Linked DNA regions of Rattus norvegicus. The protein of the gene in region 1 binds, or shares a complex with, the protein of each later gene. Links are inferred from orthologs where the notes say so. Each region holds a gene or a part of one and is shown on either strand. Other genes may lie near its edges. The genes, in order: Klb and Fgf19.

Region 1 (3,347 bases):
TGCTCAGTGACTCCTTTATAACCTCACCTGTGTCATCAGCTTACGACAGGGCTTAGACTCCGTCCTTCAACTGAGGGTACCAAGCTAATTTCCTGATGCATTTGAACTGTCACATGAGATGTTATATAACCTGGATTTTTAGGTCATGTGAGCTGGAAAATGGCTTATTAGGCTTTTCTCAAACAGCTGGTCTTCCTTCCCTGTGTGCGGTTCCTTCCCGGTATTTCCTGGCCTCCCTGGAGCATTGAAGGGCTAGAAGGATAAAAAAAAAAAGTCCTTTCTCCCACATTACCAGCAGAATAAACATCCTGAATACAGACTATTATGAAGGACAAAGTTACCATTTGTCTTGTAGTGAGAGGCTCAGCTCTTCCCATCTGACAGGTCGGGATCTGCCAGGAGCTACATTTGATTTACCTGGATGCGTTTGTTTCCACAGCCGGAGTTTACGGTGTCCTCCCCACAGTTTACTGATCCTCACCTGTATGTGTGGAATGTCACTGGCAACAGATTGCTATACCGAGTGGAAGGAGTCAGGCTAAAAACAAGACCGTCCCAATGCACAGATTATGTGAGCATCAAAAAACGAGTTGAAATGTTGGCCAAAATGAAAGTCACCCACTACCAGTTTGCTCTGGACTGGACCTCTATCCTCCCTACCGGAAATCTGTCTAAAATTAATAGACAAGTGTTGAGGTACTATAGGTGTGTGGTGAGCGAAGGACTGAAGCTGGGCATCTCCCCTATGGTGACGTTGTACCACCCGACCCACTCCCATCTAGGCCTCCCCATGCCACTTCTGAGCAGTGGGGGATGGCTAAACACCAACACAGCCAAGGCCTTCCAGGACTACGCAGGCCTGTGCTTCCAGGAGCTGGGGGACTTGGTAAAGCTCTGGATCACCATCAATGAACCCAATAGGCTGAGTGACATGTACAACCGCACGAGTAACGACACCTACCGTGCGGCCCACAACCTGATGATCGCCCATGCCCAGGTCTGGCACCTCTATGATAGGCAGTATAGGCCGGTCCAGCACGGGGCTGTGTCGCTGTCCTTACATTCCGACTGGGCAGAACCTGCCAACCCCTATGTGGAGTCTCACTGGAAGGCAGCCGAGCGCTTCCTCCAGTTTGAGATCGCCTGGTTTGCGGATCCACTCTTCAAGACTGGTGACTACCCGCTGGCCATGAAGGAATACATCGCCTCCAAGAAGCAGCGAGGGCTGTCTAGCTCAGTCCTGCCGCGCTTTACCTTGAAGGAGAGCAGGCTGGTGAAGGGGACCATCGACTTTTACGCACTGAACCACTTCACTACTAGATTCGTGATACACAAGCAGTTGAATACCAACCGCTCAGTGGCAGACAGGGACGTCCAGTTCCTGCAGGACATCACCCGCCTGAGCTCGCCCAGTCGCCTAGCCGTAACGCCCTGGGGAATGCGCAAGCTCCTTGGGTGGATCCGGAGGAACTACAGAGACATGGATATCTACGTCACAGCCAATGGCATTGATGATCTTGCTCTAGAGGACGATCAGATTAGAAAGTACTACTTGGAGAAGTACGTCCAGGAGGCTCTGAAAGGTAAGCTTTGGAGCATACAGAGAGGTGAGGTGGCAGAGGAATATATACTTGACAGCAGTGAAAACCTAGGCATAAAATTCACCACCGAGGTTCAGTCTTAGCAGGACCCAGGGCTTCCCCTTCAGTGAACCAGACTATGGGGGGGGAGGGCGGCAATGGGGGGAGGGTTGGGAGGGGAACACCCATAAGGAAGGGGAGGGGGGAGGGGGATGTTTGCCCGGAAACCGGGAAAGGGAATAACACTCGAAATGTATATAAGAAATACTCAAGTTAATAAAAAAAAAAAAAAATCAAATAACCAAAAAGAAAAAAAAAAAATTCACCACCGACTCAAGACCTGAGGCCCCCGGCTCTAGTCCATTGGATTTCTTCCTTAAAATAGGCCTTTATGATTGAATTTTAAATTTTTTGTTTTGTTTGTGACCATGTCTGTGTGGTCCTGTCTTGAAACCTGCTATGTAGACCAGGGTGGCCTTGAACTCAGAGTTCTGAGTGACCCAGCCTCTCTGCCTTCTGAGTGATGGGATTAAAGGCACATGTACCATCATGTCTAGCTAAATTTTTAATTTTTACTTTCATCATTAATGTTTTTTAGACAGGGTCTAAATAGTAACCTGAGTTGACCCCTATCCTGCTTCTGCCTTCCAAGCAGTGTCATTATAAATCTAGGCCACCACATCTGGACTTTTACAACGTGCCATAATCTCAATACGTAAAGTGGCAAAGCATTTTCTCCCCTGGGAAATCTCACTTCCCAAGAAAAGTGCCATCTGTTTTGGATTATTTCCAGCGAGCTTCCTAGATATTCCTAATACAGTTGAGCTGAGGCTTATAACTCTTTTGCCTACAATTTTTTTGGGAGGGGACTTGAACCCAAGTTCCATTTGGCTGTACTAAAAAACTACATCCCCATATCCCTAATTTTTATTTTTATTTTTTTGTGGAGCTGGGAATTTAACCAAGGACCTCGTACATACTCGCCAAAACACCCTACCACTGATCACTCACCAACTTTCTCTTTGTGGTGCTGGGGTTCAAACTCAGGGCTTTATGTGTGCTAAGCAACCAACCTCAAAGCAGTCACATAACTGGTTTTCTTTGTTTCAAGACAGGGTCTCGTATATCCTAGGCTGGTCACAAACTTCTGCTCTCCTGCCTCCCCCTACACTTGCAGGCATGTGTAATCACACCTGTCTCAACCTTTTTAAAACATTGGATGTGTTCCATGTCATCAAATCAATTTATTTATTAATTATGGATGCAGCATTTGCCTGCACATATACCTGCAGGCCAGAAGAGGGCACCAGATCTCATTACAGATGGTTGCGAGCCACCATGTGGTGGCTGAGATTTGAACTCAGGACGTCTGGAAGAGCACCCAATGCTCTAACCTCTGAGCCATCTCTCCAGCCCCATTATTAAAATTCTTTCCTTTTTCTTTTTCTTTTTTTTTTTTTCCGGAGCTGGGGACCGAACCCAGGGCCTTGCGCTTGCTAGGCAAGCGCTCTACCACTGAGCTAAATCCCCAACCCCCATTATTAAAATTCTTATCCACCACCACCACCACCAAAAGAAAAACAAAAAAACAAAACAAAGAAAACCCCAAAACAACAACAACAAACTACTCTTAGGAATGTGCTGGGTGGTGGTGGAACATACCTTTAACGCCAGCACTCAGGAGGCAAAGGCAGAAGGATCTCCAGGCAAGGCCAACATGGTACAGAGTGAGTTCCAGGAAAGCCAGGGCTACAGGAGAAACCCTCT
Region 2 (4,519 bases), on another chromosome or scaffold:
TCCCATGACTCGAGAGGTGGAGGCAGGAAATCTGGAATTGAAGACCAGCCTGGGCTACATGAGATTGTTAGCTCATCCCAGAAGTATCCATCAACTTCCTCTTGAGACAGATTCTTAGGTAGACCAGGCTAGCCTAGAACTCAAAGATCCACCTGCCTCTGTCACCTGAGTGCAGGGATTAAAGGCATCTATAACCACTTTAGGTCTGGATTTCCATTTTGAAACAGGTACCTCCTGGACCATGCTGACTTTGAACTCCTGATCCTCCTGCCTCCACCTCCCAAGTGCTGGGATGACAGACAAGTGAGCTCCACTGAGCTGGGTTTACGTAGTGCTCAACTGAACTCTGGGCTTTGAGCGTGCTAGGCAAACCACTCCACCAGCTGAACTCAGTTCCCCAGCCCCATCGTGTTTAAGACAGGGTATCACTCTGTGGGCTTTACCTCTCAGTGATCCTCCTGCCTCAGCTACCAGAAGGTTGGTATGTGCCAACGCGCCTGGTTTGTACCAATTATCCACCCCAACTGAGCCATATCCATGCAGAAGCTGGCAGTGTGCAAGTCTTCTGGCCTTTAACAAGTGACTTTAAGTTCTGATCACTATTTATCTGCTTTCCAAAACTCTGATCCCAGTTAGATTGCATTTTCTGGGTAGTAGCTGCAGCCTGGCCTGGGGCCAGGGATAGAGTGATCCTTCCTTGCTAGACCTGCAGCACAGGGAGCTTTTCTAATGCTGAGGTGGTTGAGTCTCCTACCATTGTGAGAGGAGAAGCCCCCTCACAGGCAGCCAGCCAGGATCTGCCTGATAATCCGCAGCTCCTCCCCCCATGCCCGGGACCAAGCCCACACCCTGTGGGTGGCCGGAAATGAGTGCTGTAGGAAGCTGTCCCTGATCCTCATCCCCAGTACCAGAATATTCCTAGTCCCTAGGCTTGAGGTATCAGTTGCAGTCTCCTAGACTGGTGCCACAGCCCCTTGGGGAGCCTACATGGCTCAATAAAACACAGGCTGTGTCTGCCTATGCATGCCGAGGTCACTGACCTGCAGGTGGAGACTGTTGGCAGATAAGGCTCTGATAACAGGCTAATTCCAAGAACCCATTGCTCCTGCCCTGGCTGATGGCACTAGGACAGAGCCACCACACGACAGGGGCCATGTTCCATGAAAACTGTGTAGATAAACATGGGATGTATTTCTCTTGGAGAATTCATATGGACAACTGGCCACTACCCTTTTTTTAATATAGGAACAATGGATTGTGGGGTTTCTATTTTTTAAAAAGGAGAGTTGGTGATGAACTATGCCCACCGGATCCAGGACAACACTGGAATTGGGGGTCAAAGCTCCCGTGGGCCTTCCTATACTATTTACATTAGTGCAGAATGGGGGTCGGACCCCCTGCTCAGCACCCTTGTCATAAATAACGGGAAGACACTGGCAGGAGATTTGCTTGGGTCTGGGTCAGCTTTCAGCCAGGCAGAGGACCTCCTCCTTTCTCTGCAGAATCCTTTCTCTCTTTCCTCTCTTTGTGGTCTTTTCATGTAGCTAAATCAACCTCAGTGCTGCAAACAATTTTGAGACTCTTAAACAGAAGGACGAAAAGGTTGAGTCCTGTAGCTATCCTCATAGGGGGTCCCAGCTTCTCCCAGGAGCCCAGAGCTAGATGGGAGGCCTCGGCCAAGGGACCTCACACAGCCTCTGCTAGTACCCCCAGAGGTAGGGCTGAAGGCTTCTTTTAACACCCAGCCTCTGTCCCTACAAAGCACTAGCCCACATACTTCAAGTCTCTGGATTTCAGGGGTTACCTGATTGTGGCCAGCACGCCTCACCCCAATTACCCGAGGCCCCAAGCAGGTGAGCATCTTGGGGACTTTCTAAAGTATTTCTAAATTTTACATCACACTGTGTACCTAGGACATAAAGATCCTTCCTTTTTTTTGTTGTTGTTTGTTTGTTTTGTTTTTTGTTTTCTTTTTAACTTGAGGGAGAGGAGAAAACCGAGGACCACACACGCAAAGCCTGGAGATGAAAAACGGAAGAGGCAGGTTTTCCGGTTCAATATCAAAGGGACCGAAAGCTGAATGGGACTTAGCAGCCAGCCCAGCCTTTGGAGGATTAGACAGCTCCACTGACCTCCCCATTTCCCCGCTGCCGCCTGGGGCCATCACTTTGCGCAGGGCGGGCAAGAGTAACATTAGCCTCACTATCATTGGTACCTTGCCTCAAGTTCCTTTAGGGCCTGAACAGGAGGTGAAAAAAAAAAAAAACAAATATGGACCCAGCGCGGCCCGGAGCATCCCGCCGCGTGGAGGAACACTCACCAGCCCGTATATCTTGCCGTCGGCGCTCATGCAGAGGTACCGCACGCTGCTGACGTCCTTGATGGCAATTGTCTTCAGAGCAACCGCGCGGAACTCCAACAGATCTGCAAGAGAAGGAAAAAGTTGCCTGGGCCCAGCAACACGTGGGTACAGCGGCGTCACACTGCCTCGTCCTTCCCCAGCTTAGTCTAGAAGTCAGGGGTGGGAGGATGTTAAAGCCACGGTGACATATCCACGTGCTCCTAGATCCTAAGGGACTCGAGGGGACACGCTGGTGGATACTCACTTCGTTCGTTCTGGTCCTCCTCGCAGTCCACAGAGCCGTCACTCCGGATACGCAGGAAGCAGTTGGAGACGTAGGGACCAGCAGAGTACAGGTACTGCAGGCGGGTAATCTTGCCCCAGCCATAGAGAAAGAGTGGACCTTCATCCGACACAGACTGGGATTGCTGGACCAGGGGACGCCCAGACACGGCCAGCCACAGAGTGGCCAGGACCAGAGCTCGGGCCACAATACGCCCACTCCACTTTCTCGCCATGGCACCTCGGGGTCGTGAAGGCAGCTACAAAGGTGGCGCGGAGACTGCGACGCGGCAGGGACTCGCAAGGCAGGCACAGCCCACAAAGCAATCGGGCGCTTGCAGCGCGGGGCGCTGCTGCTTCGACGGCGTTGCGGCTCCGGGCACGCGGCCTTATATACGTTTCGTCCCTCTGGCCCGGGTGTAGGTGACCGCAGTAGCAAGGCAGTCCTCCTAATTGCATCAAGTCTCCGCCCCCCGCACACACCCATTCAGCCCCATCCCAGTGACCCCGCCCAGGCAGGCCAGATCTAGCAGTGGAGGAGCCCCCTTTGTGACCAAGGCCGGGGGTGGGGTGGGGGGAGTGTTAAATGCACAGTGTCTTGATGGTTATTGAATAGGCTATTTTAATGTTACGATTAATTACTGAGGTCTTAAGGCCCTGGGCTTTCAGAGGGCTGCGCTTGGGACGGTCATTAGAGACTTAGAAGGCACGCAGAGCTCTGCCTCCGTACCCCCCACCCCCGTTTTGAGTCTTGGGTCTCTTCTTTGGCACGCTCTCGCAGATCGGATCCTCCCACATTCTCCAGCCCCAGACCTAGGCTCCCTATTCATGGATATTTGCCCTACACAGTGAAGACATAGTGGGAGTGTGTCGCGCTCACTAGGTGGCGCTTCAGCCCCAGTTTCGGCCTCCACTGTGCTGCCAGCTGCTCTCTGTGCGTCCTCTGCTTGCCTCGCGCGTGGACTCCACAAGGCGAGAGTCACTGGGGCTGTGACTTTGAGAAGGATGAGCTGACCAGCGCGCAGAGGCAGGGCAGGGGAGGTCGCGGCGTCCCCTCTTGGGTCGGTGATCAGGCCCTTGAGTCTGCGCGCGGGGGACAGCTGCGTACCGGTGAGGAGGGGGCCAGCTAGGAGCAACGGTGGACGCTGCTGGCGGTGGGTCAGGTGGGAGGAGAATGGGGGCCTCTCCTTGAGCCGCTCTTGCAAAGAAAGGAGGCAGCCTGCAGAGAATTCCCCGGCCTGGAAGAAAGGGTCCTCGCAGGGGGCTTTGGTTCAGCGCGTAGCCTTTCTCATTATGCCTCCAATCCCCCAACTCCTGGGTGTGCCCCCCCCCCCAAGCTGGTTTGGGGAAAGAGGTACTGGCCTAGCTCCGTGGTGATGGGAGGTCTGTCTGCAGGGGCCGGACAACAGAAAAATGGCAGGTCTGATGAATCTCAATGAGGAACACGCCACTTTCAGACGCCATCAGTGACTGGCATAAATGACGGAGCTCTGGGAGAATGTCACCAGGAAAGCCTTTACAAAAAGACATCACCGAAGGCTCTCAGGACCGGGGACTCCCATGCTGTGAGGCTTGTTTTAGAGAGCGATGTCTCCTGTAAAATCTAATTACTTCTCCCTTGTGATTCTCAATTGACAGCACGGACTATTAATCTTAATTGCCTTCTCCTGCCGCTTTTGTCTTAATGTCCATGATAAATGTGGGGTACCCGGGAGGTTGGCAGAGGTTTCACTGAGGAGTCCCCCCAAATTGGGCTGGAGGGTGACGTGCGGATGGCAGCACCCCAACCCTACTCTTCTCCCTTCTCAGGGACTCCCAGAAGAGTTGGAGATGTTGATAATGGAGCGCTCAGAGAAATGTCTGTAGAGTCCTGAGGGCCCCCATAAGAACATTCTT

What was found.
Region 2: the proteins of Klb (region 1) and Fgf19 are in contact, whole or in part, in a crystal structure (PDB 6NFJ), measured with the Homo sapiens proteins. The link is inferred for Rattus norvegicus from reciprocal best matches to the Homo sapiens genes KLB and FGF19. Residues at the interface, in NP_783864.1 of Homo sapiens: Phe379, Lys380, Val392, Leu394, Trp419, Phe420, Thr421, Asp422, Val425, Thr431, Tyr434, Met435, Asn438, Tyr643, Glu693, Arg696, His743, Asn824, Phe826, Met832, Gln848, Phe849, Leu850, Gln851, Ile853, Leu862, Phe931, Phe942; in NP_005108.1 of Homo sapiens: Leu192, Thr194, Asp195, Ser196, Met197, Pro199, Phe200, Leu202, Val203, Thr204, Ser211, Pro212, Ser213.

What each region holds. Positions count from the first base shown.
Region 1 is NC_086032.1:43,256,198-43,259,544, reverse strand, and holds part of Klb (beta-klotho), read left to right. Parts: intron 1-439; coding exon 440-1,583; intron 1,584-3,347.
Region 2 is NC_086019.1:209,484,283-209,488,801, reverse strand, and holds the start of Fgf19 (fibroblast growth factor 19 precursor), read right to left. Parts: upstream 2,990-4,519; 5' UTR 2,860-2,989; coding exon 2,607-2,859; intron 2,425-2,606; coding exon 2,321-2,424; intron 1-2,320. UniProt on the Homo sapiens protein: Involved in the suppression of bile acid biosynthesis through down-regulation of CYP7A1 expression, following positive regulation of the JNK and ERK1/2 cascades. Stimulates glucose uptake in adipocytes. Activity requires the presence of KLB and FGFR4.